Drosophila melanogaster: one gene and its partner. The protein of the gene in region 2 interacts with the protein of the main gene of each other region in a pairwise test. Each region holds a gene or a part of one and is shown on either strand. Other genes may lie near its edges.

Region 1 (3,140 bases), on a different chromosome or scaffold from region 2:
GCCGATCAATGTGAAACTAGGATATATATCGAGTATCCTTAAAAAAAAAACACCCTTGTGCTCAGTTTGAAGCTTTGATCTTGGTAACTAAACGAATTCATAGACATCTCAGACGAGCCAACTCACGAGTCAGAGCGAGAGGTCGATAGGCCTCATGCCAACTCAACAGTTTTGACCGTATGATAAAAATTCGACCACCAAAGATGAATGAAAATCACTGAATTACGATGTTAGTATACGGTGTGCATTGATTGGCAGTCCCATAAAGCATAATCCACGTAGCAGATGCGTCGGCAAAATGCCACGTATACGGATGGGAACACCCCCGCCCACCGAGCGATTGTTATTTATCGGCGAGGGTAAGAGACTCTACTTACGCGCCGAGAAGGTGCAGATGACGATGGGCAGGACCATCAGCATTAGGAACATCAGATGCCTCATCTTGTTGGCTGTTTTATAATGTCGTCGGGGCTCCAAATGCAATCGAATGCGCGGCGCACACACGGAAATTTGGCTGGGAAATCGGCTGAGGGAAAAACGCACGCACACACAACCTTCCCGATCGAGTGAAAATGAAGAAGTGACGGGCTTCGGTGGTATAGCGGCGAAAACAGAAGCCGACAATGCACGAAGTGGGCACGAAGCCGAGACACGACTTTCACTGACAAATGTCTACGTGGTGCCACGTCTAGGGTTGCAAGGGCCTCTCGATCCGTAGGTCAATTACTCAGTTTTTAGCTATTTAGCTTACTCAGGATAGGCATTCTGCCTAGTCATACATAAAACATTCATTTGATTATAGTTAAAAACATTTTCTCATATCTAAAATAATCAATAATATTAGATCTTGGCTTATTTTGTTGACATTTGAGTGCACCGACAACTCTAGCGAGACAAGTAGTGATGCCAAACGCCGCAACTGTCATTCCTCGTGTTTTTTCATGTTTATCATTTAAAAGCAATATTTTGGTCAACATAATATTTTATGCAATTATAAAATTCAAAATATATTTATTTTTTATACCAAATATCATTTTTTGACGGAGGTAAAAATGCTACAAATATTTTACAGCACTGTTCGGCCATCGTGCTGCCAACTTGGCTATTACACCGCTATTATCTGGCTATTTTTTCTGCTAGAAAATATTATGTTGACATTATTAATATAACATTGTCTGTATACCAGAAATATTATAAAACAAAATTGAATGGTCAAATTTAAATGTAGCAATACAAATTGGAAAAATTTTTAAAAAATCAATAATAGATATATGAACACAATTTTCTATTGTTATTGTGTGAACAATAAAAGTTCGCTTAAAGATTTAGGAAAAATGCAATTAAATATAAATACTAATTTTTGGAACACGAACCATTTAAAAAAACAAGGCATACGGAGGGTAAAAACTACTTTTTCGAGTAGTAAAATAATTTTTTTCGCTATTTTCTAGCCACTCAAGCGCAATCGATAGTGAGCGGGGCCGTTAATCGCAGCTATCGATTGGCCTGCGCAACGCAGCCAACTTCACGTCGCTGTGCCGATAACCGCTCAACTTCCTTTTTGCTTGCGGCTGTCAATTGAAGCGCATCTTGCACGTGAATTCTCTGCGAATTTAGCATTTTTAGCGATCTAACATGGACAAACCAGTTGTGTGGGCACGCGTCATGAAGGTTCTGGGCCGCACCGGCTCCCAGGGTCAGTGTACCCAGGTGAAGGTCGAGTTCCTGGGCGAGCAGAACCGCCAGATTATCCGAAACGTGAAGGGACCAGTTCGCGAGGGCGACATCCTGACCCTTTTGGAATCCGAACGTGAAGCCAGGAGGCTGCGCTAATTGGCGACCAAACTCGAGAAGGTAAGCGCACCTGGAATATTGGCCACAGTGAACACACGTCTTAACACACCTTCTATTTATTCCGCAGACCTTTTTACACACACATACACAAAACTGTTTTTCGCACGCGCCTTGTTTTTTTCGCGGAGAAGAAGAAGCGGATGGCAAGAAATCCGAACGAGGCTGCTGCATATTCGTTATAAACAAATGAAAATACACACCTAATTCGCCAGAAAATCAGCAAAAATGTGTTTTAAATAAATCTCGAGAGCATTGGACCGCCTTTGTACGAAAAGAAAACCAATCAAGCCTGTGTTTTGGTTTCATTACCTTTTTTGTTTCTGTGTTTTTTTTGAGTGCCCAGTGAAAATTGACAATGGAATGTGGTCTTCAAGCGACTTCCTTTAACAATATGTATTTGCATTTAGCAGAAACCCTTGCCTTCTCGGAAATCAACAAAGAAAATACAGACGAAATTCTCCAGTTGCTAAAAACACGTTTCGTTGATTTCCTTATAAACGCAAAGTTTTTCTGTTAAACACAATGATCAGAAGTTCTGGACACGTTAACATCTTAAAAAAAATGTTTTATTTTTTCGTCCACGAAAAGATATTTCAAAGAGAGGCCAGCCGAGTGATTATATAGCCCAATCACATTTCAGATTTGACAATCAATGTTAATGAATGCACAGTATTTTTTGTATAAAAAATAGTTTAAATATTTGAACTGCTGGAGCTGCACAGAAAATATACGTAACATTTTTATAATAAAAGTCAATAGCTCAGTTAGTTAATATATAAAACATTGTATAGCAAATTATGGTTTAAAACCACTGAGGTGCATATGTTTCTATATTCCTTAAGCCTAATTTTCCCTACAAAGTCAGCGGAAAACTGGACAGTCTCTCTATTTTGGCCAATCCAAGGGTAATGCGTGCTTCTGCAGGTTCCGGCAGTTGGAGATCGGATTTGAAGGACTCCAACGAGGATTCGGGTGCGGAAAACTTGGGTTGCAGCTGACTAAGATGAAGCTCTAGGTATTTAACCTGGTTCTGCAGCAGTTTCAGCGATTCCTCCAGGAAATTTCTGAATTCTGTCAATGCTGCAGGTGTTTTGGTTTGCTGCTGCTCATTACATAGGTGCAGGCACTCAATCTCGAAGTCAGTTACTTGGGCGGATATCTGCCCTAGCTCGGAAACCAGTTTCGATCTATGAATTGGATGGCAAGGCAAATCAGAAAAGTTTCTGGCTGGGATTAGGCCACTTACATGCTGTCCTGCAGGCTACGGTAAACATCGTGGCACACCG
Region 2 (4,987 bases):
TTCCCATTCTGAAACCCACTACCATTGCCAGTTCCATTCTCATTCCTGAACCGCTTCCTCCATTAAGCGCTCCAAGTGACCGGCCGGTCTGCAGCGGATTCCAATATCCAAAGGCGGGCCGAACATGCACAGCCATTTCTTCGTGAGTCGGAGGAGTTGGTTTCATTTGGTATTCCCTGCACTCGCTCCCTTGTCGCAGTCGACGTTCCAGTCTCATTTTCAGCCAGGAAGTTCGTTGTCGCCTGCTGTCGCCCCTGCCACGCCCCCTTCCTCGGCCGAGTCCCCCATTTGCTGCAGTACCTTTCCACACCCCTTTTTGGCTACACCGGCAGAAACGTGGCACGTCGTTAGACTAGTAACTGAAAAACCGCAGAAGTATCCGACTAACAGGACCAATTGTTTGTTACAATTAACCATTAACCCTTTCTCGCAGTGCAATCGCTTGGTGTCCCCGGCATTTATGTGGCTTTTCATTTACATGCCAACATTTGTTTCCCTTGGCAGTTGGCAACAAGGTTTGAGGACTAAGGATTGAGGATTGAGCACCGCACACCGAAGACTGAGGAATGGGCAATGAGTCATCGAAACAAGAGTTGGGGACTGCAGAGTGCAGCAGGGCGAACGCATTGCAGTTGGCTACTTTTCAACCTGGTTCCGATGATAGAGATAACTCAGCGGAGAAACCCGCATGCTGTCCAATTGAGAGGCCACAATCTGGGGCACACGAATCGTGGGAGACTGGGCTTCTGGACCTGGGCCAAGCGGAAGTTTAAGAGCAATCATGTAATGTGCTTGATCCGGAAATGCGTAAATCAAATGAAATGCAGTGTCGGCGGAGTGGTAATACATATATGACCCCAATTTGGCCATAGTGCTCACAAATCAAAGCCAATTTGCCAAATTACTTAGAGGGGCAAAAATAAAAAATAAACTGAGGGGCGCCAAGGACACCCACAACTCAACCGCCAGGTGGGCGGCTCTCGAAAACGTCTCCCCACGGAAAAACACGAATAGAAAGCGACGCCGGCGAAGACAAAACAATTTCGTTCGCCGCGATGTCGCGCAATTGAAAGTTTTGTCTTCGATTTGCATTTGCATTCAAAAAGGAAAGGAAGCCAAATTGTGCGAAATTGTTCGAAATTGTTGGGGAATTGCTTTCGCTTTCACACACAATACGAAATAATAATGGGGGGCGGGATCGGACATTGCATCGATCGATCGCAAATTATCGGTCACTCCACTCGGGCACAGATCCCAAATGGACGTCAGGCGAGTTCAAATTGGCTGGGTTCAAGTCAAGATAACACGGGAGACCAAGAAAGGTCCACGGATCGACGTTGATAGCTCTCAATTTGCATTTCTATTTTTGGAAACACTCAAGGCAATATTTTATATGACTCCTAAACGCAGTGGGGGTAGCCCATTTGGCAGTTATCAGAATATGTATATAGGTAGCCAGCTTTTTGATAAAAAACATGTGTGAATTCAACCAAAAGCCATTCAAGAAAGCCATAACCATAAATGTCGTATATCTGGATTCTTCTTGTGGAAGATTTTAAGAGATTTGTCAGTTCATAACCCACCATCCTTATTCTACAAATCTCAAGCTAGATCAATCTGTGCATCGGAAATTGTTTGAAATATTTTCCAGAGGTATCTTGAATACCTGGTAAACTCAAAGAGACAACCAAAGAAATAACTAAAATATGAATAGCCAAGTTACAGTTACATTCTCATAACAAAGGTCACCTAGCAGGCGACTTATGCCTAATTCCTGGATCTACCCTACATTATCCCAGACTAGAAAACAACAACAAGAAGGCAAATACTTACAGGACTCCGGAGCAGCGGGTGCAGACAAAGGATCCGATGGTCATGTTCACGTAGGTTGGTCCTTTTTGGCCGCAGTCGAAGCACTGCCGATTGCTCCCCGTCCCGCTGGCCACTAGTTCCCGCAGGGCGAGCAGGTACTTGTCGTCCTGTTTCTTGCGCACCACCGCCATTGTCGCCGTCTCTGTCGCTCCCTTGGCCGCCGCCCTTTGTACCGCTTCCGGTACTACTGACGTCGACGTTGTCGTTGTTGTTGCTCCTGCTGCTGCGATGAGCGGCCTGACGGAGGGTCCGCTACCTGCGCGCTCCTCCTCGGATTCCTCCGCTTCCGCTTCGTGGCTCTGAGCCCGATCCTCGTCGGATCCAGCTAGCTGCTCGGTGTCCGAGGGCAGCCGCTCCTCGGGGGGCGGGAGTGGGTGGTGGTGGGTGGACCGCTCGGCCGCGTAGGGCGCAAAGGGGGCGACGGCGGTGCGGTAGGAGGAGGCGGCGTGGGGCGCGGAGCTGTTGTAAGCGTACACGAACTGAATCTTGCCTGATTTTTTGAATTCTTTCGGGAATTGGTATCGTTTACTTTCTGCTCCAAATTGACGTAAATTTCCGCTGTTATCGTTTTTTGCCTATCGTAATGGCTGGCTATCAGGATCGTTTAGGGAATCAAAAATTTTTATCGGGAATGCGAAACTGACGTAATTCCCCTTCCCCTCTTCTAAGCTTTCCTTTCCTTTTCTTTACGCAATTTTTGGCTTGACCTTTCCTCTCCTTCGACGCACACTCACACACTCACTTTGACACTCACACTGACAGGTGTGTGTGTGCGGTGCGATTTATCGAAAACCACTTTTCCGATTGCCCGTGTTATTGTTTACTTTTCACTTCTTCGACTCGCAGAATTTCGCTTCAATTCAATCTATTTACACCGAGTGCCGCTGCAATTGCCACACAGATTTCAGATTTCAATTGAAATTTCGACGCTGCGAATGCACTCGCCACTTTTGCTGCTTCCCCTTCTCCTTGTTTGTTTGCAGTGCGGATTCGAAGACGAGTGGAAAACGAACAGCGAAACGAAACGGAACGAAACCAAACAGCACAGCGCACTCGAAACAAAATAGCGCGACTCGACTCAACACAATTCCGACGCAAATTCCGACCGCTCGCCTACAACAACAGCAGCAGAGTGACCGTTGGCGGACGGGAGAAACATACCTCGTGTTGCCGCTGGAAATGCACTAAAATTGGACGGAGCTCTAAGACCTAAATATGCCGCAACTAAAGCACAGACACACACCGATTGAACCTAATTCGATAACTGTTATCGAAATTTAAAACTTTTTAAAAAACATATTACTATTTAAAATGTTGGGAAATATTTATTGAATGCAAGTCGACTAAAGATAATAATAATTCTACAATAGCTATGTTTAATCTAATATTAGTTAAACGCATCTCACTTTTTAATTGGTATAAGCAAACACTTAAAAACCTAAACATTTCCTATGCCTAAACCTAACTAGTAGGTGAAATATGCACATAAGCACATGGAGTACTTCTTAATCCTCGGCGCGCTGGCGGCTGTTTCCCTTCCTGATGAATTTCCGCTTGAACGTGGCGGGCGCAGTGGCGGCTATCTCCTCATCCAGACCGCCAATCGTCTTTTCCTTGAACTTCTTGACTGGAGGTTCTGGTTCACTCGAGGCGGAAACCACGGGCGCAGCACTGTAGTAATCCGTTTTGGGTAGCTGCCAGTCGATGGGCTGCTCAGGTGCTCTACAAAAATCCATAAATTTATCAGTAAATGCATTTGAACCTAGTAGGAAGGCCCTACTTCACTTCCACAGTTTGCCACTGTCCAATCTCTTTGGTGGCCGCCTCTTCCTCCGTTTTGAATGTCTGACGCCTCTCCTCCTTCTGCTTCTTTTCCTTGGGATTGTCCGTCCTGCGGAAGGCTTTCATCTTCTCTCGGTTCACCCTCGCCACTTCCTCGTCGACATTGGCGCGGAATTTCAGCGATTCCTCGGCCTGGGAGATCTGCTGCTGGTCGATGGCCAGCTGGTTGATGCGCTCGTACTCCTCGTAGGACAGATAGCCCTCTTTCGGCGGCTTCCACACGGATTCATTGGTCTTCACGTTCCAATAGTAGGTGTGTCCCTCGTCCGACTTGCCCTCCACCCAGAGGGATGCCTCGGGCACGGCTGCGTCGCTTGTTACCTTGCCGGGAGCCACCCGCCTCTGGTCTTCTTCTTCGTCGGACAATCCTTCCAGGCGCATGGGGTCCACTTGGCGTGATCTTCCGGCGAAGGAGTGAGCTCCGCCTGAGGCGGCAGCAGTGGCGGTGGCCCTCATTACCGTGTTAATGGACCTGGCGGTCATGTCACCGCGCGAATGGACATCCTGTGCGTACGACTTCATGGCCGCCTCCTCCATCTTGCGGATCTCCGCGTCCATTTTCTGGCGCTCCCGCTCCGATTTCTCGCTGTTGCGACTGATGTCCGTGATCCGCTTGGCCACATTCATCTTGTGCCGCTTGCCACTCTCGTGGAAGGCGACGCTCTGCGGGATTAGGGGTCATTAGAGTGCCGAAAAGCGAGTTTATTCTATGGACTCACCGCCTTGTTGTCGCTCAGCCAGCATTTGCAGAAGTCGCAGAACTTGCGCTCGTTTGATTTCCAGTACTCCGTCCTGTTGGAATCGAGAGTTAGCTATGGCAAAGCCGGAGGATAATAACGCAGACTTACATGATGATTTCTCAGCTTAATTGTTTCGAATACAAGTAATATTAAATTTTGTTTGCAATCGCAAATGAAAACAATGTGCGGGAGTTGCCACCCAGTCGCGAATGGAGCTGCACAATAGCTCCGTATCTGACTTTCTAGCCATTCCACCGCCAAACCGACATATCTGTCAATAGCTATTGACAATCGAATTCCGTTGATCGGCAAAACTTTGCGACTTTAGTTAGTCGCTTTTTGAGATTCCCCGAGGCAGGAGCTCGCCCGATCCGCGTCCAGCATTACGGAGCACCATTTGCGAGCAGCAATTAGCCATGGGCCAGACACGCGTGGCAGCAACAACAGCGGCGCAATCTCCCGCGGCGGAACTTTCGCCAGAGACAAGTGAGTAAACCGGAGGAGGAGGTCGTGGTCAGGTCACCGACTCGCAC

What was found.
Region 1: the proteins of drongo (region 2) and RpS28b interact in a two-hybrid assay, tested with the Drosophila melanogaster proteins (one large-scale study listed by BioGRID).

What each region holds. Positions count from the first base shown.
Region 1 is NC_004354.4:9,553,075-9,556,214, forward strand, and holds RpS28b (ribosomal protein S28b), read left to right. Parts: upstream 1-1,548; 5' UTR 1,549-1,635; coding exon 1,636-1,833; 3' UTR 1,834-1,854; intron 1,855-1,921; 3' UTR 1,922-2,587; downstream 2,588-3,140. Other genes in the region: l(1)G0320 (lethal (1) G0320), read right to left, coding at 378-441; CG15317 (uncharacterized protein), read right to left, coding at 2,708-3,041, 3,101-3,140.
Region 2 is NT_033779.5:848,066-853,052, forward strand, and holds the start of drongo (drongo), read right to left. Parts: upstream 3,007-4,987; 5' UTR 2,004-3,006; coding exon 1,834-2,003; intron 1-1,833. Other genes in the region: CG4291 (uncharacterized protein), read right to left, coding at 3,378-3,594, 3,653-4,377, 4,434-4,506, 4,563-4,564; kraken, read left to right, coding at 4,871-4,940.